Linked DNA regions of Canis lupus familiaris. Each later gene encodes a partner of the first gene's protein in a complex. Links are inferred from orthologs where the notes say so. Each region holds a gene or a part of one and is shown in the gene's direction. Other genes may lie near its edges.

The links.
Region 2: the proteins of ITGAM (region 1) and PTN are in contact, whole or in part, in an NMR structure (PDB 8VOH), measured with the Homo sapiens proteins. The link is inferred for Canis lupus familiaris from reciprocal best matches to the Homo sapiens genes ITGAM and PTN. Residues at the interface, in NP_000623.2 of Homo sapiens: Pro273, Asp276, Arg277, Gly279, Val280, Ile281, Arg282, Tyr283, Lys306, Pro307, Arg309, Asp310, His311, Ala334, Ile335, Glu336, Gly337, Thr338, Gln339; in NP_001308315.1 of Homo sapiens: Val56, Pro57, Thr58, Ser59, Asp61, Cys62, Gly63, Leu64, Thr66, Glu68, Thr79, Lys81, Thr82, Gln83, Arg84.

Annotation. Positions count from the first base shown.
Region 1 is NC_049227.1:17,131,537-17,142,564, reverse strand, and holds part of ITGAM (integrin alpha-M), read left to right. Parts: intron 1-4,164; exon of another isoform or gene 4,165-4,858; intron 4,859-4,988; coding exon 4,989-5,119; intron 5,120-5,568; coding exon 5,569-5,714; intron 5,715-6,436; coding exon 6,437-6,590; intron 6,591-7,602; coding exon 7,603-7,753; intron 7,754-8,389; coding exon 8,390-8,463; intron 8,464-11,028.
Region 2 is NC_049237.1:10,944,662-10,955,789, forward strand, and holds the start of PTN (pleiotrophin), read left to right. Parts: upstream 1-5,981; 5' UTR 5,982-6,158; intron 6,159-7,111; exon of another isoform or gene 7,112-7,186; intron 7,187-11,128.

The DNA of each region.
Region 1 (11,028 bases):
CAGCCTGGGGGATGACTTAGAGGTCTAAATGCAGAAGCTGGAGGAAACTGGGATCCAACAGAGATGATGTGGAGAGATGCAAGGGTCTTGTTATAGCCACTTATCTTTGTAAGATGATGTCCCAACCATTGTCCTTAGAGTAACTACCTGAGTCTCCTGATCATAGCCTCTGAGGGTCTCCCATCCTTTCTACCTCAGTCACTGTACTCTAGGCACTCTGGCTACCTTTCTTCTCCAAGAATGACATCAAGCTGTCCTTACCTCAGGGCCTTTGCAATTACTGTTCCTTCAGCCTGGAATCCTCTTCCCTCAGATCTTAGTGGACAATGCATTATTGTCATTTCAGCTCAAATGTCACCTCTTCAAAGAGGCCTTTCTTGAGCGGTTCTTGTAATCATTTCTACCATCTTGTCATACTTTACCATCTTCATATACATATTTTACTTGTTTCTTTTCTGTCCTTTCTTCTGGAATGTAGCCTTCATGATAGCAGGGATACTATCTTGTTCATTGCTCTATGCTCTTTTTAATTTTTAAAAAGATTTTATTTATTTATTCATGAGAGACACAGAGAGAGAGAGAGAGAGAGGCAGAGACATAGGCAGAGGGAGAAGCAGACTCCATGCAGGGAGCCTGACGCAGGACTTGATCCCGGAACTCTAGGATCACACCCTGAGCTGAAGGCAGACGCTCAACCGCTGAGCCACCCAAGCATCCCTGCTCTGTGCTCTCTCTCTCTCTTTTTTAAAGATTTATTTATTTATTTATTTATTTATTTATTTATGATAGACATATATATATATAGAGAGAGCAAGAGAGGCAAAGACACAGGTAGAGGGAGAAGCAGGCTCCATGCTGGGAGCCCGATGCGCAACTCGATCCTGGGACTCCAGGATCGCACCCTAGGCCAAAGGCAGGCGCTAAACCACTGAGCCACCCAGAGATTCCCCCCTTGCGCTCTTATATCTACTTCTGCTTAATAAATTGCCCTTAAACTTAGTAGCTAAACCCAATAAACATTAATTATATCACAGTTTCTGCAAATCAGGAATCTGGGGATGGCTTAGCTGGGTGCCTCTGCCTCAGGGTTTTTCACGAAATTGAAGTCAACTTGTTAAACTGGAGCTCATCCAAAGGCTTGACTGGGGAAAGATCCACTTCCAAGCTCACTTACAAGATTGTTGGACTGAGGGCCCCGGTTTTCACTGGCTGTTGGCTGGAGGTTTCTCTCAGTTGCTTTTCACATGGGGTTCCCTATAAAGCAGCTCACAACTGCTCCCCATAGAGCAGCTGGCCTCCCTTACAGTGAGTACATAAGGGAGTAGGAGAGCAAGAGAGAAAGAGAGAAAACAGCCAAAAAAGAAATCATAGTCTTCATAATCTAATCTCAGAAGTAATAGTACATTATTTCTGCCATCTTATGTTCGTTTGAAGTGAGTCAAAAATTCCATCTCACTTTCAAGAGAAGGTTACCGTGCAAGGGTGTTATATCCAGGAGGTGAGAATCTTGAAGACCATCTTGGTGGCTGCCTACCACATCCTTGTTCACCAAACATCTGTCGATTGAAAGAGAGTGAGTGAGCGAGTGACTGAATCTTTTCTCAAGCTGCTTTCTACCATTTATTTCTTCAACTGGTTGTCCATCTTTTTTGCTTGGCTTCAAGTTGGTTCTAGAACCAAGGGCTGATATGTCTTCCATTTATAGGTTTTTTTCCCCTTCAAGCTCTGCCCCTTTGTACTTTACTCTCAATGGATAACATTCCTTCCTTCTTCATAAAGAAAATCAAGGTTGCCAGGGATGAACTCCATCTACTTACTCCTCCTTGTTCAAATTTTTGCAACAGTACCACCCTTGGCAGTGTCTCACTGGTTTTAGAGGAAGACCTGAGTGTCCACCTTTCCATGAATCACTCTTCTATCTGGACTTTTGAGGCTTTATCACATCACCAACCTGAAGCCCACATCCTCAATCATTCATTCTCTCCAGGAGCTTAAATTTCTCCTTCCTCCTTTGCATGTAAACATGCTTACACTTACCCATATCTTAAAAGCAATCAACCACCAATATTGATAGCAATGAAAATAACCTTTCCTCTCCCTGGTCTCCTCTACATCTTATGCTGTTTCTCCTTTCCTTCATCATCAAACTTTTCAAAAGAGTTCTCTCTTCTTGTTTCCATTTCCCCCATATTACCATTCTTCACCCTCTGACATGTGTCTTCTCTCCAACCTCTTGCAAATGGCATTTGTGACTTCCTAAATGCCAAATCTCTGTTCTGTCCTCATGTTTACTGACTTTTCTGATGTGACTTACAGATCATCTCTTCCTTCTCCAAACACCTAGATTTCTCCCCTCCTCTCTCTTCCCCTCCCTTCCCCCCTTATTTCCTTCCTCTCCCTTCCCTTCCCTTCTTCTTGCTTCTCCTGCTGCCAAGGGCTTCTGGTAAACTTCATCTCCAGGCAGTCTCCCTCTGCCTTCCTTGCATGTGTAGGGGTACTAGGTTACGGCTTCTATTCTTGTCCAAGTGTTCTTCCAGGCCAATTGCATTCAGTTCTGTGGCTTCAGCTCTTAGCCCCTCTTTAGTGTTCACTCTCAGCATTCAATACTTTTCTTTTAAAAAACATTTTCCGTTCTTATATTCACAAATATATACATATTTATAGTCTTCACTTTGTGCCACAAATGATAGCGTGTTGTACACATTTGATTCTTTTCATTTAACCTATCTTTGAGATTTTCAAAGATTTCTCTGGTTAATTTTCTTTGTATATTTTCCATATAAATGTTAGAGTCTGCTTATCTGTTTTTAAAAAACTAATACTTTTTTGGGGGGGTAATTTTACTTTTTCAAAGATCATACAATAAAATTGGCCTTTATTCGTTTAGTGTACAATTCCATGAATTTTAAGATATGTATATAGATTTTCATTAAAAAAACCAACATGAACATGGGGTGCCTGGCTGGCTCAGTTGGAAGAGCATGTGACTCTTGATCTTCAGATTGTGAGTCCCAGCCCCACATTGGTTGTAGAGATTACTTAAAAATAAAACCTTATAAAAAATCCAACATGAACAGAATGCAATAGTTCTATTACTCCCCTAAAAAGTCCTTTATGCTATCTTTTTATAGTTAGTTGCCTTCTCCCCATCCATCCTAGTCCCTGGCACTTACTAATCTGTTCTTCATCACAATATAGTTTGTCCTTTCAAGAAGCTACATAAATGGAATTACAACCCTTTGAGATTGGCTTCTTTCACTAGTATGAGGTATTTGCAATTCATCTGTGTTGTTATGTATATCAGTAGTTCTTTCCTTTTTTATTGCTAAATAGTATTCCATTGCATAGATTTACTAGTCCCAGTCACAAGTTCATCTGATCACACATTGAAGGATGTTTGGGTTGTTTCCAATGTTTGGCAATCATGAATGGAGTGGCTAGAAACTTTTCATTGCTACAGCAATCTTTCTAAATACAGAAAACAATCATCTCACTTCCTTTTCTAAGAAAACTTCAGTGGCTATTCACTGCCTAAGGGATAAAGTCAAACTTCTTTTTTGGGATAGAGAGGTCCTTCCCAACTGTCCTTTGCTTAATGACATAGGCTCATCTCCATTCCCATCACACAGATTTATCCTAGTAGTGTCATTTCTGTCCCTCAATTCTGTGGAAGGATTTTAGGTTCATCTCCTTTGTATCAGTCAGGGTTTTGACTGGAATAAATGCTTCACCCCAGTTAGAATAATTTGAGAAGGATTTATTAACAAAGGGACTAATTTTATTTGATAGAGTCTTAGGGAGCCACAGTGGATGATCCAGGAATCCAGGGCAAGGAGCAGCAGAGCTGTTACCATTCTTAGGCTGATTGGACAAGGAGAGGGAAGAGTAACCAGAATTCAGAAAGAGAGAGAGTTCTCTGGAGTGTGCTTCCTTGAGAGGAGCAGTGATCTTCCATTGAGAGACACAGCTGGCCCAAAGCAACCTTCCAGGGCAGGAGTAAGAGGAAAATACTCTGATCATACTCTTCTACCTGTCTCTAATCTTCTGTTAAGGCTCCTAATTGGGCAAACCCAAGTAGAAACCAGAAGGCAAAGGAACCCAAAATACATGTGATCCATGTAGGCTGACTTGCTAGGCTGCAGATCAGATTGGAGGAGGGTAGAAGGTGGATTTGGGGCTGGGGACAGAAGGAAGGAGGACATCCAGTATATTGTTATATGTGCTATTCCTTTTTTTCCCATAATTTCTTTCTCCCTTTATATTTATGGCAAATTATTTCTCATTCTCAGAGTTAATTCTGATATCTCTACTTTTCCTGACTTCCTTGGGCAGAATTAACTAAAATTTTCTATTACTTCATCCATATTTCAAATAGTATTAAATAATCAAATTTATTAAACAAATTTAAAAAAGTATTATAAAATGTTTAACTTTCTTTAGACTCAAGGTTTATTTTGCTCCCAAATTTTGCATATAATTGAACTTTTAAATATACTAACACCTGCTGAATTGATTCCACTTTGGATTCTAAGGCATCAGTTTCTTCATGAAAATTTTTCTTTGTTTCTTCTAACATTTCTTGTGTTTATTCTTGTGACTGGCTAATGAAAACATCACCAATTTGATAAGGTATCATTAAGCAGTAGTCATCTATCTGCAAGCATGATGTCCTTAAAAGCATCTCTAAATTTTGTAGTTGTTTCTTTTTTACGACTATTTCTTCCTTCAGCTCTGTGATTCTACTTGTATTCCATGAAAATTTGTTTATCTTTTGTCGATCTTCAAAAGTAAAATTGGCATTTTCTGCAAATGTCTTCTGCATGGCAGCTGACATCTTGGGACTATGTCCATATTTTTATTAAACTTGGAACATGGGTTGCATATTATTTCCCTTTTATTTTTACTGCTTAGCAAAGAGCTAACATGCAAAAAATGAACCCCTGTCTCTGGTGCTTAATTAGTTCATGTTCTTTCTTTTGTTCCCAAAGAATGTCCTCGGCAGGACAGTGATATTGCTTTCTTGATTGATGGCTCTGGTAGCATCAACCCGACTGACTTTCAGCGGATGAAGGAGTTTGTCTCAACTGTGATGGATCAATTCAAGAATTCCAAAACCTTGGTGAGGGCAAATGGATGGGTTAGGAAATAGCTCATGCAAGGCTGGCAAATACAGGGCAACCAGGCAGGCTGCCACTTTCCCCTTTTACTTCTATCGCAGATGTTGCCAAATTGCCAATTGATCATGGTTTTCTTTCATGATTCTCTTTCCTGCTCTGGAATCAGCCTCAGCTTCTTCCAATGCTCTATGAAGCAGGCAGCTTTAACTAATTGATAAGGGTTGGAGTGGGAGATAAAATCCACATCTAATCTCTGGCTGAGTTCTAGTACTTAGAAATGGGAGCTGATGGCAGATCTCTGTCCTGGTGAGGCAAAAAGATTGGGGACAGTGTAGAATTTGGAGGGATTTGGAGACTGGAATGTTTCAATATTTATCTAGGGCCTCCTGGGAGATGGGTAAATGTGAGGAGGGTCATCTTCTCCAGTGTAATACCAGATGCCTGTTCCCAGTTTTCTTTGATGCAGTTCTCTGAAGACTTCCAAATTCATTTTACCTTCAATGAGTTCAAGAAAAATCCTAAGCCATCATTTCTGGTGAAGTCAATAAAACAGCTGTTGGGGAGGACACACACTGCCACAGGAATCCGCAAAGTAGTGTAAGCTCTTTGTTTAGGATGGGGAGGAGGTGATATTTTTTTGTTGGGATTTGAAGAATGCAGAGGGAACACAGACAGGGATGGGATAAAGGACATGAATAAAGGTGTGGAGGAGGGACTCTGCATGGTGTGCTCATGAAATATAAGTTGTAAGTAAAGGTAGGAGTGAAGGGGATATGTGAGGGTGAGGCTAGAGGGAGGCTACAGAGATCATTTGAGGCCAGGTCACTTAAGGCAACTGAAAAGCTAGTGGGGATTCACTGAATGTTTTAAGCAATGAGGAGATGTTACCATATCTTCTTTTGGAACTTCAGTCTGATGTGTGTGTGTGTGTGTGTGTGTGTGTGTGTGTGTAGAGGTGAGGGTGAGGGTTGGGACAAAAGTGCAGGAGCATGAGCTAGAGAGCTGTAGCATCAAACCAGGAAAGGTTTGCAAGGGTTCAATTAAGCTTAAAGATTTGTTTTAATTTAAAAGGAATAATAGTTAAGAAAAATAAATCAATGCAAAAGTATTTAAAGGCAGTGAAGATTTCCTTTCCTTCCACTCTTCTCCCTTCTTCTGTGTCTTTCTGGGTCTTGTGGTAGCCACATCTCAGTGTTCATTCCAGGGGATCCCAAACCCCTCCTGGCTGCATCAGTCTGTGACTCTTGACATTTCCTCCCTAGCATTAAGATGATCTCTGTCTATTCACATTTGACTTTTCTTTCCTCTTCCCTGGACAGAAGAGAACTGTTTCACAGCAGCAGTGGAGCCCGGGAGAATGCCCTTAAGATCCTAGTTGTCATTACAGATGGAGAAAAGTATGGTGATCCCTTGGATTACAAGGATGTCATCCCTGAAGCAGACAGAGAGGGGATCATTCGCTATGTCATTGGGGTAGGAAATGTGGCTCTCTGGGCTGATGCTTCTGTAGAGGGTTTCTGTTTGGATACACCCTCCCTTCACTTTGCAAATATCCCTAAAACCAGGGTGGGCAAAGGGCCACCGCCAGCCCATATGGGCCTATATCAGGCAACTGCTGTTACAATGATGCTATGTAACAGATTATTTCAGAATTCAGTCTTTAAAACAATAAATGAGTCTGTAGTACATCTGGGCAATTTTTCTGGTTTTGACTGGCTCACTCTTATATCTGTAATCATTTGAAGGTTGGTTGGCAGCTCTGGTAATCTTGGCTGAACTCTCTCCATTTCTGAGGGTTGCCAGTTGTGTCTGTTTGCTGGACCGGAATGGCGGGAATAACTGGGGTAACTTGGCTCTTCGGATCCCTGTGTCATCCTCCAATGGGCTAGCCTGGGCATGTCTTCATGGTGAAGGCAGAGGAACAAAAGAGCAAATGGAAATGTTGCAAGTACTTTTTAAAGCCTCTGTCTGCATCGTGTATGATAACATCTACTAATCAATGGATATTAGCAAGACACATGGCTGCACCCAGAGACATAAGCAGGGCAGATTACTCTGCCATGAGTAAGAGGATACAGCAAAGTTTTGGAGGAAAGGGCTTGGATTTAGGAAGGGGTAAAGAGTTGGGATCATCAGTGTAATCCAACTCCCACAGTACCTTATATGACATAGAAAAAGATATCATCATGGGTGCATGACTTGGTAGGTAGGAAACCCCTTCATATAGAGGAAAAGGCTCCCTTTACGCTGGGGAGAGGTCAGACCCACATCAGGAGGCATGGCACAGCAAAGGAACCAAAGGCTGGACTTCAGCTCCTAATTACTCCCTTGACAGACTGCTCTGTGCCCTATCCCAGAGGCCTTCTGGTGTATTCCCTCATTTGACAAATATTGTTTCAGATTCTTTTCCTGCAGAATTTTCTTTGCTGGGTGACACTGCTACCCCCTGATGGTGTCTAATTTGGCTTCTATTCTTTGGTAACAGGTGGGAGATGCTTTCAACCATCTAAAAAATCGTGAAGAGCTTAACATCATTGCATCCAAGCCTCCTCGTGATCATGTGTTCCGGGTGAATAACTTTGAAGCTCTAAAGACCATTCAAAACCAGCTTCAGGAAAAGATCTTTGCAATTGAGGGTAAGTAAGTTAAGGTTCTGCATTCCTGCAGCAGGTCCAGAGGCAGCCCTGAATATGGATTTCTCCTCTAGAGACTAGAACCTCCTAACTCTTGGTATCCTGATTCTCAGCATCAACTCAACTCTCTCCTCTTCTAGTTCTCAGCAAATTTGGTCTCACTTGGTCATTCCCTTTGAAATCAAAAGATCTAGACTTTATTTTTACTTTGCAAACCTTGGCTATAGGCTGGAAAATTGGAGGGTAGGGGAGTCGGGCCTCACACAGTTTATTTCCAAGAATTTGGGTATGTTGCCAATGTTTGACTGTTGGATTCACTGCTGTATCTCCAGTGTCTAGAATAGTGCCTGGTACATTGTGGGTGCTCAATGAATATTTACTGATTACAATAATTTAAAAACTGAGGGGAGTTTCATATACAATCTGGATTTATGATTTCTCTTAAAAAATTGGAAGATTAGACTGCATTCCTATCTGGCAAAAAGCAGTTGGAGCCAAATAGCTACCAACTCTTTAAAAGAGGTATATGCTTTCTAATTCAACATAGCTCCCACCTGAGCCTCCTTTTGTTTGGTCATCATAGTACTTGAGTTCCAGCTCTTCCACTTTCTTTAATGTAGAAAGCTCTCCTCCTTACAGGTACTCAGACAGGAAGTAGCAGCTCCTTTGAACATGAGATGTCTCAGGAAGGCTTCAGTGCTGCCATCACTTCAGTAAGTGGTCCTTCATTAAATTGGGATTGGGTGAGAGGAAGTGGGAGAAGAGGTGTAAGGGTTTGGGGGCTCTTATTTGCAATGGGGACTTGTTGGGGAGCACTCCTTTGATGGGGAGCAGTGGTCCCTTTTCCCTATTAATTATGTTTTTTTCTTGATATATAATGGATATATGAATGATACTTCAGGTATACACCATAATGATTTGCTGTATGCATATATTGTGAAATGATCACCACAATAAGTCTAATCAATATTCATTACCACATATGTTACAAAATTTATTTTTCTTGTGATGAAAACTTTAGGATTTCTTTTCTTTTTTTAAGTTAAAAAATTTAAAAAATTATTTAAATTCGATTTAGTTAACATATATTGTATTATTAGTTTCAGGGGCAGAATTTAGTGATTCCTGGTTACATATAACACCCAGTGCTCATGACATCAAGTGCCCTACTTAATACCCATCATATAATTACCGCTTCGCCCCACCTACCTCTGCTTCAGCAACCCTCAGTTTGTTTCCTAGAGTTCAGTGTCTCATATGCTTTGCCTCTCTCTGTTTTCATTTTATTTTATTTTTCCTTCCCCTGAATTCATCTGTTTTGTTTCTTAAATCCCACATATGAGTGAAATCTTATGGTATTTGTCTTTCTCTGACTGACTTATTTTGCTTAGCATAATACCCTTTACTTCCATCCATGTCATTGCAAATGGCAAGATTTCATTCTTTTTGATAGCTGAGTCATATTCCATCATATATATTTAAATACACTACCTTCTTTATCCATTCATCTGTTGGTGGACATCTGGGCTCTTTTCATAATGCCAAGTGATGTTGAGCATTTTTTTTTTAATGTACCTGTTAGCCATCTGGGTGTCTTTTAAAAAGTGTCTATTCATGTCTTCTGCCTGTTTCTTGACTAGATTTTTTGTTTTTGTTTTTTGGTATTGAGCTTGGTTAAGTTCTTTATATATATTGGATACTAGCCCTTTATCTGATTAGACATTTGCAAATATCTTCTCCCATTCTGTAGATTGCTTTTTAGTTTTGTTGGCTGTTTCCTTTGCTGTGTGCAAAAGCTTTTCATTTTGATGAAGCCCCAATAGTTTATCTTTGCTTTTGTTTCTCTTGCCTTTGGAAACGTCTCTAGCAAGAAGTTGTGGCTAAGGTCAAAAGAGGTTGCTGTGTGTTCTCCTCTAGGATTTTGATGGATTTGTGTTTCACATTTAGGTCTTTCATCTATTTTTGAGTTTATCTTTGTGTATGGTGTAAGAAAAAGACTTAGTTTCATTCTTCTGCATGTGGCTGTCCAGTTTTCTCAACACCATTTGTCAAGGAGACTCTTCTTTTCCATTGGATATTCTTTCCTGTTTTGTCAAAGATTAGTTGACCATAGAGTCGAGGATTCATTTCTGAGTTCTCTCTTCTGTTCCATTGATCTATGTGTCTATTTTTGTGCTAGTACCCTACTGTCTTGATGATTACGGCTTTGTAATACAGCTTGAAGTCCAGATTGTATTGTCTCCAGCTGCAGTTTCTTTTTCAACATTCCTTTTGCTATTTGGGATCTTTTTTGGTTCCATACAAATTTTAGGATCATTTGTTCCAGCTCTATGAAAAATGCTGATGGTAGTTTGATAGGGATTGTGTTGAAGACGTAGATTGCTTTGGGTAGCATAGACATTTTTTTAAAAAATATTTATTTATTTATTCATGAGACACACACAGAGAGGGGGGGCGCAGAGGCAGAAGCAGGCTCCATGCAGGGAGCCTGACATGGGACTGGATCCTGGGTTTCCAGGATCCCACCCTGGGCTGAAGGTGGTGCTAAACTGCTGGGCCACCGGGGCTGCCTGCATAGACATTTTAACAATATTTCTTTTTCCAATTCAGGAGCATGGAATGTTTTTCCATTTCTATGTGCCTTCCTCAATTTCTTTCATAATTTTCTATAGTTTTCAGAGTACAGAGCCTTTCTTTACCTCTTAGGTTAGGTTTATTCCTAGGTATCTTACGGTTTTTGGTGGAATTGTAAAGGGGATTGATTCCTTGATTTCTCTTTCTTCTACCTCATTGTTAGTCTACAGAAATGCAAACGACTGCTGTGCATTGATTTTACATCTTGTGACTTTACTGAATTCCTGTGTCAGTTCTAGCACTTTTTGGTGGAGTCTTTTGGGTTTTCTACATAGAGTATTATGTTGTCTGTGAAGAGTGGAAGTTTGACTTCTTTGCTGATTTGGATGCCTTTTATTTCTTTATGTTGTCTGATTGCTGAGGCTATGACTTCCAGTACTGTGTTGAACAACAGTGATGAGAGTGGACATCCCTGTCGTGTTCCTCACCTTAGGGGAAAAATTCTGTTTTTCCCTGTTGAGGAAGATATTTTCTATGGGTCTTTCACATATACTCTTATGATGCTCAGGTATATTCCCTCTATCTCTACATGGTGGAGAGTTTTTATCAGGAAAGAATGCTGTATTTTTTCAAATACTTTTTCTGTATCAGTTGAGAGGATCATACGGTTTTTATCTTTTCTTTTGTTAATGTGATGTATTACA
Region 2 (11,128 bases), on another chromosome or scaffold:
AGACCGTTTTTTTAAGTTGGGTTTATTGACTTCCAATGATTCAGTTACACAAAATGTTTAGTATCCTGGATCACGATCTTTGTCAGACATGCGTTTGAGAATATTTATTTGCATTCTCAGGATTGCATTATTATTAATGGTAGCTTACAAAGAGTAAAATTTTATTTTTATGACATTCAAATTACCAATGTTTTAATAACAATTTATGTGTTCTTCGTATTTTATCTAAGAAACTTTTGCCTACTCCAAGGTAACAAAGATTTTCTCCTATTATTTTCTCTAGAAACTTTATAGCCTTTGCTTTTGCATTTAGTCCACAATCCATCTTGAGTTTGTTTTACTCTACACTTTTGAAATTTATTTTTTCCACATGAATATTCAGTTCTTTGGGGACCAGTTGTTGGAATGACGATCTTTTCCCCATGAAATATGTTTGGGTCTATTTGTGAATTGATGGTTTTGTTCTCCATTGATCTAAAAGTCTATCTTTATGCCAGTATTGCACAGTAATCTTAATTAGTATTGCTTTATACTGGGATTTGATATCAACTTTATTCTTTATTTTAAAAATGTTTTGCTCCTTTGAGATCCTTTGTACAGCCATAGAAATTTTGGTACCAGTTTGTCAATATCTATTAGAAAATCTATTGGCATTTGATTTGGATTAACTGAACCTGTAGATAAATATGGAGGGAATTTACATCTTAAAAGTCTTAAAATTTCAGATTGGTGAGCATAATGAATCTCTCCCACTTATTTCTGTGTTCCTTGGCTTCCATCAGAAATGTTTGGTGTTTTTCAGTGCCCAAGCCTTAGACATGTTTTCCTAAACTTATCTCACTACTTGTTCATGCTTTTGAGATATGTTTTTTACTCTTTATTTTTCCAGTGGCTATTTGCTAGATATAGAAATAAAATTGATTTTTATCCTTGGAACTTGTATCTAGCTAAGGGCACTTAGTTCTAGAAGCTTCTCTGTGAATTACTGACAATTTTCTATGTATATACACACATGCCACATGAGAATAGAAATAGTTGTACCTCTTTCCATTATTTTTATTTCTTTTTTCCTGGCCTTATTTTACTGGCTAAGATCTCCAGCACAATCTCCAATAAAAATTACAGCAATCATAATTTTTGCTTTGTTCCTAGTCTTTGATGGAAAGCGTTCACTTTCACTAGTAAGTGTCTCAGTAGCTGGGGGCTTTCTGCAGATAGGTCTGATCAGAACAAGGATATTCAGTTATATTCTTAAGTGGGTGAGAATTTTTATCATGAATGAGTGTTGAATGTTTTCAAATGTTTTTCCCTCTATAACGTAAATGTGCTTTTTATTCCTCTAACGATTCCACTAATATAGTGAATTATGCTATTTGATTTTCACATGTAAAACCAAAATTGTTTTTCAGGGGTAAACATCCAATTTGGATATACAATCTTATTTTTTTATACACTACTGGCATTCATTTGATGATATGTTTTAAGGGCTTCCACATTTATTTTTCCAAGGAATATTGGCCTATAGATTTAGTTTCTTGTAAATCTTGTGCTCAAAAACTCTTTTGGGTATTTCAGGCCTGATTTGCTGGGTAAGTGTGGATAAGGCCCAAGGCCTGTTCCTCAGCTTTCCCAGTTTAGAACCTTGATATTTTAGCAGCTCTTGCTGAGAAAGACAAGATTGAGGTGCTTAAGTCAAGCTACTAAGATTCACAACAGCTTGACTGATAAAAGTATAATTCATAAAATTTATAAGCATTGCTGGTTGCTCCCCAGATCTGTTCCTCTTCCTTTTGCTGGTGCAGTCTGTGTGGCCACGTGACTAGGCGGCTGGATCCATTCTCTACTGGGGTTTGGGCCTAATTACTTTTCTTTAAAAATTTTTTTATTTAAACTTAATTTAGTTGACATATAGCGCATTATTAGTTTCAGGGGGTAGAATTTAGTGATTCATCAGTTGCACATGACACCCAGTGCTCATTCCATCACATGCCCTCCTTAATGTCCCCTCTCACCCAGTTATACCATTCCTGCCCCCCTCCCCCACCCTCCTGCCTTATTTTCTTTAAATCAAATATGCCTGAAGCTCTTCACAACCACACTGAAAACCCTTAGCTCATGGATTGAAGATGCAGATTCAAAAGATGAAAACACCTGGGTCCTTGAAGACTTCAAAACACTGACTTTACCAACCAGTCTTTGTTTTTTTTTTTTTTTTTTTTTTTACCAACCAGTCTTATTGAGATAAAATCCCAAAATATGTAAGCCATTTTAGTTGAGTTTTCTGTGTGTGTGTTTTTTTCTAATCAAGTAGCATGGGCATTATCAAAAATATTGATACAGAAGTTTTGTAATTTCATTACAGTTAACCAAAAAATAAAGTTTTATTACCTTTGGAATATTTCAGAGAGAGAAAGAGAAGTATATTACCGGGACTCCCATCAAACTGCATGAGCCTGATGGATCGTTCTTTTTCTCCATTCTAGGGAGATTGCAGCACTCGGAATGGTAATCAAGAACCTAAACACCCTGCCAAGTAGGTAATCCGAGAGACACCTGACAAATTTTTCATCCAGTTCCTTCACATTTTTTTGCTCCATGCTGATCACACTTCCTGTATTTGTCACTGCAAAATCAGTGGCCTCATTTTCAGATCACCCTTAGGACATGTTATAATTTCTATGGTTTCAGATCGTCTTACATTGGTTATATTTTAGCCTGGTAGCTCTCATGCAGAGGCTGGCCAGTAGCAGGGAGGGTGAGCATCAGCAAGCCAGAGCAAACACGGGGGGGGGGGGGGGGGGGGGGGCGATGTCTGGGTGCAGAGAAAGTGTGAATGGGTGTTTGCAGTTAGTTATTTTTCCCAAGACACAGGGTGAAGAAGTTTGGATAGTGGATTACTACAGTAGCATCCTATCTGGGACCTCTGCTTCCATCCTTGACCACCCGTGGTCTATTCAACACAGAGAGGCCATAGTAAATCAGTCAGAATTTGTCACTCTTAATGGCTTCCCACCTCATTTAGAGCAAAAGTAGAATTCCTAACATTAGACAAAGGCCATGCATGATCTGGCCCATTACTTGCCTAGCCTAGATGCCTATCTCCGCTCACTGAGTTCCCGCCACAGTGGCTTCCTTCCGGTCCTCTAACACCTGGGGCAAGATCAGACCTCAGGCCCTTTGCACTGACTGACTCCTTTACCTGGTGAGTATCTTCCAAAATATTTACTTGGCCAACTCCCTCAATTCTGCAATGTTTTCACTCAAATTTCACCCAGGGAGATTTTCCTCCCCTGAATTGGTGACTTTATCTTCCTTCATTGTCTTTATTTTATTTATTTATTTTTACCCATGGCAATCCTCACATCTTTTTAAAATTTAATTAATTGGTTAATTAAGTTTATTTATGTAATAAAAAATTTAAGCTGTAGCGCAGTAGGAATTTTCATCTGTTTTTGTTCATGGCTCTATTCACTCAAAAACTTGAGTCTTCAAAGAATGTCAGCTAAATGAACAGAATGAATTGAAATCTTGAATCAGCACGCCTGTGATGAGGCAGCAGAATGAAGGTTGGATTTGGAGGTGAACACTTTGGAGTACAGTTCAAAATATCTTCTACTTGAATTTTAGTGTAAATGCTGGGGTGAAGTAAATTATGAATAGTCTCAACCTCAGAGATTGCCATTCCTTAAGAAAACCTCCTTAATTATCATATGTATGTATTAAAGATTTTGTTTATTTATTTGACAGACAGAGAGAGAGAGAGAGCACAAGCAGGGGGAGCAGCAGCAGAAGAGGGTGAAGCAGGCTCTCAGCTGAGCAGGAAGCCTGATGGGGGGCTCATTCCCAGGACCCTGGGATCATGACCTGGGCCTAAGGCAGATCCCTAACCAACTAAGTCACCCAGGCACTCCTTCCATTATATTTAAAAATACAATAGTTAATAATATAGGGTTTCATAATCACAGCACTATTAACATTTTGGGACAAATAATTTTTTTTGTTGTGGGGGCTGTTCTGTGCATCATAGGATGATTAGCAGCATCTTCGGCCTCTACTTAGCAGGTGCCAGTGGCAAACGCCTCCCGAAGCTGTGACAACCAAAAATGTCTTAGACGTTGTCGAATGTCACCTGGAGGGTGACACTGCTCCTGGTTGAGGACCACTGATATAAATAATGCTCACATATTCCTACTTGGATAAAGTATATTTTTGATATGATACATGCAATGGAGTGGAAATCATGGGGATCTCATGCTTATGTCATCAACCCTGTCGATAAGCATCGTAATAACTGGTAGCAACATGTGACACTTGTAAATGTTAAGATAAAATTTAGGAAGAAATAGAAAATGGGTAACTCCTTGTTAAAAGGCCTAGCAACTATGCTTCAGGAGTAACGGTGACTGTTGAGAAGTCTCAGGAAAGAGCCTTGGCAAAATAAAAATAATAAAGAACAATGTGCATTCCTCTGCAGCTTAATGGGTAAAATCACACTAAAGCAAACATAGCTTCATCACTGGGAAAATGGAATCACAAGAGGGAAAGAGGCAACATGAAGTCTGTGTGTGGAGGGGAGACAGCTCCTTGTTCCTTTATTTCTGCTTTAGGATGGTATGTGGCAGGTGGATGAAGAGTTTGGGTACAGAGATAGACTGGAGTTTCCTAAGGGAATTTCGGATGCCTCCTCTTTTGGAAAAAAAAAAAAAAAGGTTGCTTGATTGATTAAAAGGTCTACTTGTAGAGACACCTCTTTGTCCCTGGCTGGCACTTTCATGGGACATTTGTCCAGGTAGCACTCAATATACAAGCCCAGAGTTCTCAGAACTACCTGCCACAAAACAATGCTTCTAATTGGTGGTGGTGGTGGGGGGGGGGGTGGTGGAGGTTGGGGTAGGGTTCTAAGCAGATGTAAATTTTAAGAGTTATATAAGGCACATAATAGATATTTATCAAACTGAAGAGAAGGAACGTAACCTTAGGAAGTGGAAATGGAAGTATATTTTGCGACCATTTGTGGATGCCATGGAATGAGAAACTGAAAAGTAAAAAGAGGAAGACTCGAGGCCGGCAAGAACTCTGATGAGGAGCAGAAAAAAAAAATCTCAGAATGTGCTTTTTGATATGTTTGGGGAAAGTCGTCTTATACGTCACTATTATTTTATGCAATACTTTTATGTCCTTGGTGTCATAGATATCCATCCATATGTCATCCAAACACCCCTCCATGTGTTGACTGCCTTAGCATCGGTTCTCAATGAAACATAATGGGAATCCCGAACGCCACGCCGCCCAGCCTCAGTTGTACCAAGGACCAGAGTTGGAGCCACACTGATTAAGCCTCTCAACTCTTGGGTGTCAAAGAAGGCATGTCACTAAAGGTCACTAAAGGCAAAAAAAAAAAAAAAAAAAAAAAAAAAAAAAAAAGTGTAAAGAGCTCCCTAAAGCGAAATGGCATTTAATTGGTAACCTTCAGACATCTGTCACTCTTGGTGACCAGCGCCAGGGAGGACTTCGCACACTTGCGATGGCGCAGGTGGGACGCGGCTGACAGCTGATGTCCGTGGAGCAGGGTGCAGGGGCAGGGGCGGGTGCTCGCGCGCGCGGGGTGGGGAGAGGGGAGGAGACGCTGCCTTGGAAGACGGGGTTTTTTCATCTCAAATATAGCTTAAAAAAAAAAAATAAGTCTGGGGCTCCAAGTGTCTCCTAAATTGCTATCAGCTGTGCATTTGGGCGCTCCTGCCTCTCAAGCCGTGGGGTGCGCGCACCTAGAGCAGCACGGCTCGGGCATAAAGTTTGCAAAGGGAACGCGGTGTGCGTCCCCGCCCCACGGGGAGCGGTGGTTGGTCCGGGGGCCCCGGCGGCTCGGGGCTGGAACGAGCTTCCCAATCAGCTCGCGAGCCCCGGGCGCGCTCCCTCCCTCGGCCTCCGCGTCCGCGCCCTGCCCGCCGCGCCCCCTCCCTTTCCCCAGTCGCCTTCCGCTCCCTCCCGGCGGCGCGCAGCGGAGGCCGAGGCGGCTCGGGGTCCCCGCCTGGCCGTCCCCCCAGCCCCGCAGGGAGCCGCCGAGCGCAGCAGCGGCCGAGCGGGCGCGGCCCCCGGCAGCCCACCGAGCGCCCGGCCTCGCCCCGCGCAACCCAGGCGGCCCGAGCGCGCGACGCCGAGTAAGTGGCCGGCGGCGGAGTGGGCGACCCGGGCGGGGGCGGGGGCGGGGGTGCCTCCGAAGCTCCTGCGCCCCGGGGCCGGCGGAGGCATCAGCCGGGCGTGGGGTGCAGGGTGGCGGTCGGGGGGGGTCAGGGTGCCGGGAGGCGGTGGGTGGGGGCGGCTTTTGTCCCGGCCCGCGAGCATCTACACCTTGCGCTGCCCGGGGCGGAGGGGTGTCTGGGGCTGCGCGGGGTGGGGGGCGCCCCGGGGCCGGCGGAGGCATCAGCCGGGCGTGGGGTGCAGGGTGGCGGTCCGGAGGGGTCAGGGTGCCCGGAGGCGGTGGGTGGGGGCGGCTTTTGTCCTGGCCCGCGAGCATCTACACCTTGCGTTGCCCCGGGCGGAGGGGTGTCTGGGGCTGCGCGGGGTGGGGGGCGCCCTGGGGCCGGCGGAGGCATCAGCCAGGCGTGGGGTGCAGGGTGGTGGTGCGGAGGGGGGGGGCTCAGGGTGCCGGGAAGCGGTAGGTGGGGGCGGCTTTTGTCCCGGCCCGCGAGCATCTACACCTTGCGCTGCCCGGGGCGGAGGGGTGTCTGGGGCTGCGCGGGGTGGGGGGCGCCCCGGGGCCGGCGGAGGCATCGCGGGGCGTGGGGTGCAGGGTGGCGGTCCGGGGGGGTCAGGGTGCCGGGAGGCGGTGGGTGGGGGCGGCTTTTGTTCCGGCCCGCGAGCATCTGCACCTTGCGCTGCCCGGGGCGGAGGGGCGTCTGGGGCTGCGCGGGGTGGGGGGCGCCCCGGGGGCAGCCCCCCGTCCTCTCTCCTGGGCTTGCGGGCTGCGCCCACCGCGCTGGCCCTTGTGGGTGCGGGCCGGGGGCCAGGGGGGATGTAGGGGTCGACGTGGAGAAGCGCTCCCCGGGCTGCCCGCCGGCCCCGGAACGGCTCTGCAGGCAGGTGGCCGCAACCGAAGTTTAAAAGGCGCACCTTAAGCCCGTCTGCGCTTCGAACGCCGACTTTGAGGGCCGCCCGCGCTCGAACTTCGGGGCTCCCGCGCCTGAAGGTAGGGGGTGGAATGTTCACCGCTAATTTGCCGGATGCCCAGTCGGAGTTGAGGTTTTTCATAGGTTGACCTTTTTTCTTTTTCTTTCTTTCTTTTCTTTTTTTTTTTTAAAGCACGGAATGCATTCGACTGCTTCCCTACTTGTCCTACAAAATAGAACGCTTCCTCTTGGAGGACGCACATCATGCCCCTTAACACACACACACACACACACACACACACACACACACCTGGTTTCTGCGCGGTGAGCCCCCGTGACCTAGGCCAACCGCGGCCGCCCCGCCAGTGCGTGGGGATGCCCTGGAAAACTAGAGGCTGCGGTGGCTCCGGGGAGAGGAGGAGCGGACCGTGGGGGCGGCGGGGACGTTCCCCTCTTCCCCTTTCACCTCGATAGCTCGTTGCTTGAGCAGCTTGAGGCAGGTGGTGTGTGCGTGTGCGTGTGTGCGCGCGCGTGTGCCTGTGCGTGTTGGAGCGGCGGACCTGGGAGGAGACCGAGGGCCGGCCAAGAAGAGCTTTGGGATCCCCCGCCCCAAACCCCTCATGAAGCAATTTCAGGATCCCAGGCCAACGTCAAGTTGGTGAAACAGGAAAGCCCACTTGGCCCCCTGGGTCACTGGGGATGATGGATACGTGGAGATCCTCCCGGGTAGTGGTAGTGAAACAAAAGAAGTGTCTCCCAGCCCAGAAGACCAAGCATGGATTTTCCATCTTCATTAGGTGCCTTTTTAAATAAATTATTCACCTTAGGGGCCAAATCGTTAAAAAAAAATCACTTTACATTACTTACAAAGTCCAGTTACATTCAGAGGAAATTAGAGTGGGTGTTAGCTCCTTTCCCCTTTTGAGATGTGAGATACGTTAGATGTTAGATCGGTGATACTTCCTCATTGAAACCAGAGGATGAGACTTTTTAAAATTTTATTCAAAAACAAAAACAAAAACAAAACAAACAAAAAACCCAAACACCCTATGGCTATTATTCTGTGCTTTAAGAAACTTGTGCTGTGAGTTCTCCAACTGTGCTTTACATCTTCCGAAGGTGATCTTTTCTCCCCCTGGGAATCTTTTCTTCACCCAGGTGGTGAGGGGGGCAAGGAGGAGGGAGGGAGGAGGGCCCCCTTCCTTTAGGACAGTTTTCTTCCCATGAGTGAAACCAGTGAGGGATGCCCACCTGAAGCCTTACAGTAGGCTTACAGTGGGTGCTCTATTTCAGCTGGTCACTTGTGGATACAACTGCATTGTATTTTTTTCTTTTTTTTTTCTTTTTTTTTTTTTAAGATTTATTTATTAGAGCAAGGGTCAGAGGGAGGGGAGAGAGAGAGTCATAAGCAGATTCTGCGCTGAGCATGGAGTACTGTGCAGGGCTTGTTCCCAGGATCCTGAGATCAGGACCCGAACTGAAACCAAGTGGGGTTGCTTAACCAGTGGTGCCACACAGGTGCCCCGCGTTGTATTTACACAAGCCAGAGCTGTGCTAATGCCCAGTTAATGTCCCATTAGTAGATAACTTGTATTACCTGATGTTTAAATGAGGTATTACAGGAGATGAGAAAAATTTAATAGTATATAGAGTAACATATGTACATATTATATAATAATACATAGTTCTGTGGTTTCCTATATTTGTTGTAATAAATTTGCAAATTTATTGAGAGCTTCAATGCACCTTATTTGGTCTTTACATATAGCAATATGTAGCAGGATGCACATTTTTTTTAGGCATTTTTCTTTGTAACTATTAAAATCAGTGGCCTTGTTTGAATATCCATGAAACTTGATCATTGGAAATATCCTGAAAGAAATAAGGTCCCCAAATAGTTTAATTGCTTTTATCAATAAAATCAATCTTAGAAATGAACTGTTTTAGCTATAAATGCTTTTTTCCCCCCTTTGAAGATACTCTTGTTTTCTCATTTAAGTGATCTCTCCCCATGGATTCTGATCCCGTTTTCTGATCTGTGGGGTTTTTTTTTTTTTTTTAATCACTCTTCAAAATTTTCTCAGGAGACTGAGTTTAGTTGGCTTACTCAAAATGTGGTTACCTAATGGCTAATGTAGGCCCAGAAGTTGGAACACACCTTAAAGTTCTCCACTATGGTTTTTTTTTTTTAAGATTTTTTTTTTTATTATTCATAAGAGACACAGGGAGAGATGCAGAGATGCAGGCAGAAGGAGAAGCAGGCTCCCTGCGGGGAGCCCCATGTGGGACTGGATCCCAGAACCCCCCAGGTCACGACCTGAGCCAAAGGCAGATGCCCAATCTCTGAGCCACCCAGGTGTCCCTCCATTTATGCTTTTAGTATGGTGGCATAGGGATATGGAGAGTTGTCCTTACTTCTCTCCTGAAGGTACTGTTCACATTGAGAGTGCCCAGGGTGACCAGAGCGCAAGCATGGTCTACACCTGAGTGCGCTGAAGTCTAGTGTAAGGAGCCCCGGGGGAGTCAGGGCTCTCCAACTGTGCTGTTCACTGCTTGGATGCTGAATGGGACTTCTTCAAAAGGTTAAGGCTGCCATTCTAATGAATAATCAGAAGAACTTTTGTCTCTTCTTGGCACGATGCCATGCCATCGCTCTGTGGTAAAGTAATATTCAGATATGGATCTTCTCTTTATGAGCTGGGTCGGCTCTTTTCCGTCCAGAGCCAACTGGCCTGAGTGGGATTTGGGCCACAGCCTGCCTTTGGAAAGCTGTTCTTCATTACTGATGTTTAAGGCCAATTCCACTTTCCATCCATCGAGCCATTTTTCCATGCACTTCTTGCCAGTCTTGTATGTGGCAGGGTTCTCAGTGTCATACAATCTTTCTTAGGTTGTCAAATATAACAGGGCTTTTGTTCCGCCCTGGTTTAGTATTTGGTTAAAAAAAAAGTTAAAATGTCTGCGGTGTAAAAGAGTAGCTATAATGGAACATTTTCAGAGGGCATTATATTTATGTTAACATTGTGGATTTGATTATGTAGATCACATTCACCGCAAATCCCTAGTTCTTAAGGGTAGGCAAGGAAGACAGTGAATAGTTGATGCTTGAGGTAGTTTGAGAAATAAAATTTAATTTCTTCTACTGGGATTTGTTTTTTAGCCATTTCTTCACAGTGGATTTAGGTAAAGTGACATTTATTTATTTTTCTTTTTTCTTTTCTTTTTTCTTTTTTTTTGGGGGGGGGGTAAAGTGACATTTAAAAAAAAATCACCATCATGTATTTTCTAACAACAGAATTCTTAGAGTCCTAAACATCATCCTTAGGAAAAAAAAAGTCAATTGTTGTATATGAATCTTGAAAGAGGTGAGTGATAGTAACTGACACCGCGCTCTTAATTCTAAGAACTGTGCTTAGTACAACCCAAAATGTCACTTAAAAAATGGCCTGCTGTATTCTTAACCCTTTGTTTCCACTTCTTCCAACTGTAACACTTCCCTGTCCCCTTCCTCTGGCTCTCATTGCTCCCTTCCATTCATCCAGTGCCATCATTTCCCATTTAACAAATCCCATGATGTCTTGCCCAATTCCTTTGCCATATCTGTGACGGTGAATACACGTTCCTGTAACTGTGTATCTGGAAGCGTTGCCCATATGTGAGATGCATGGAAGGCTGGGCCTTTGTAGCTGAAAATTTCACATATTTCTGATCCGGTTCACTCAAATCTGTTTTTCAGGCCAATGTGCACTCTATCGACTACCCTGGGTTATTTCCCTTTTGACTAAGAAAGACCCTAGTTAGGATCATTTCATGCTTTTGTCACTAGGAGAGGCTTGGCTTCATTGTTTCTTTAGCGAAGCCTGGATTACTCACTTCCATCTTCCCAGGTCCTGCCTTAACAATGCAAATGTTTCTTGCTCCTTTGGCAAGTCAATTTAACCATAATAAATAATTTTTATTATATATGCTAGATGCCTAATGTAATATACTCAAGAAATACAACACATAGTTTCTTTTCTCCA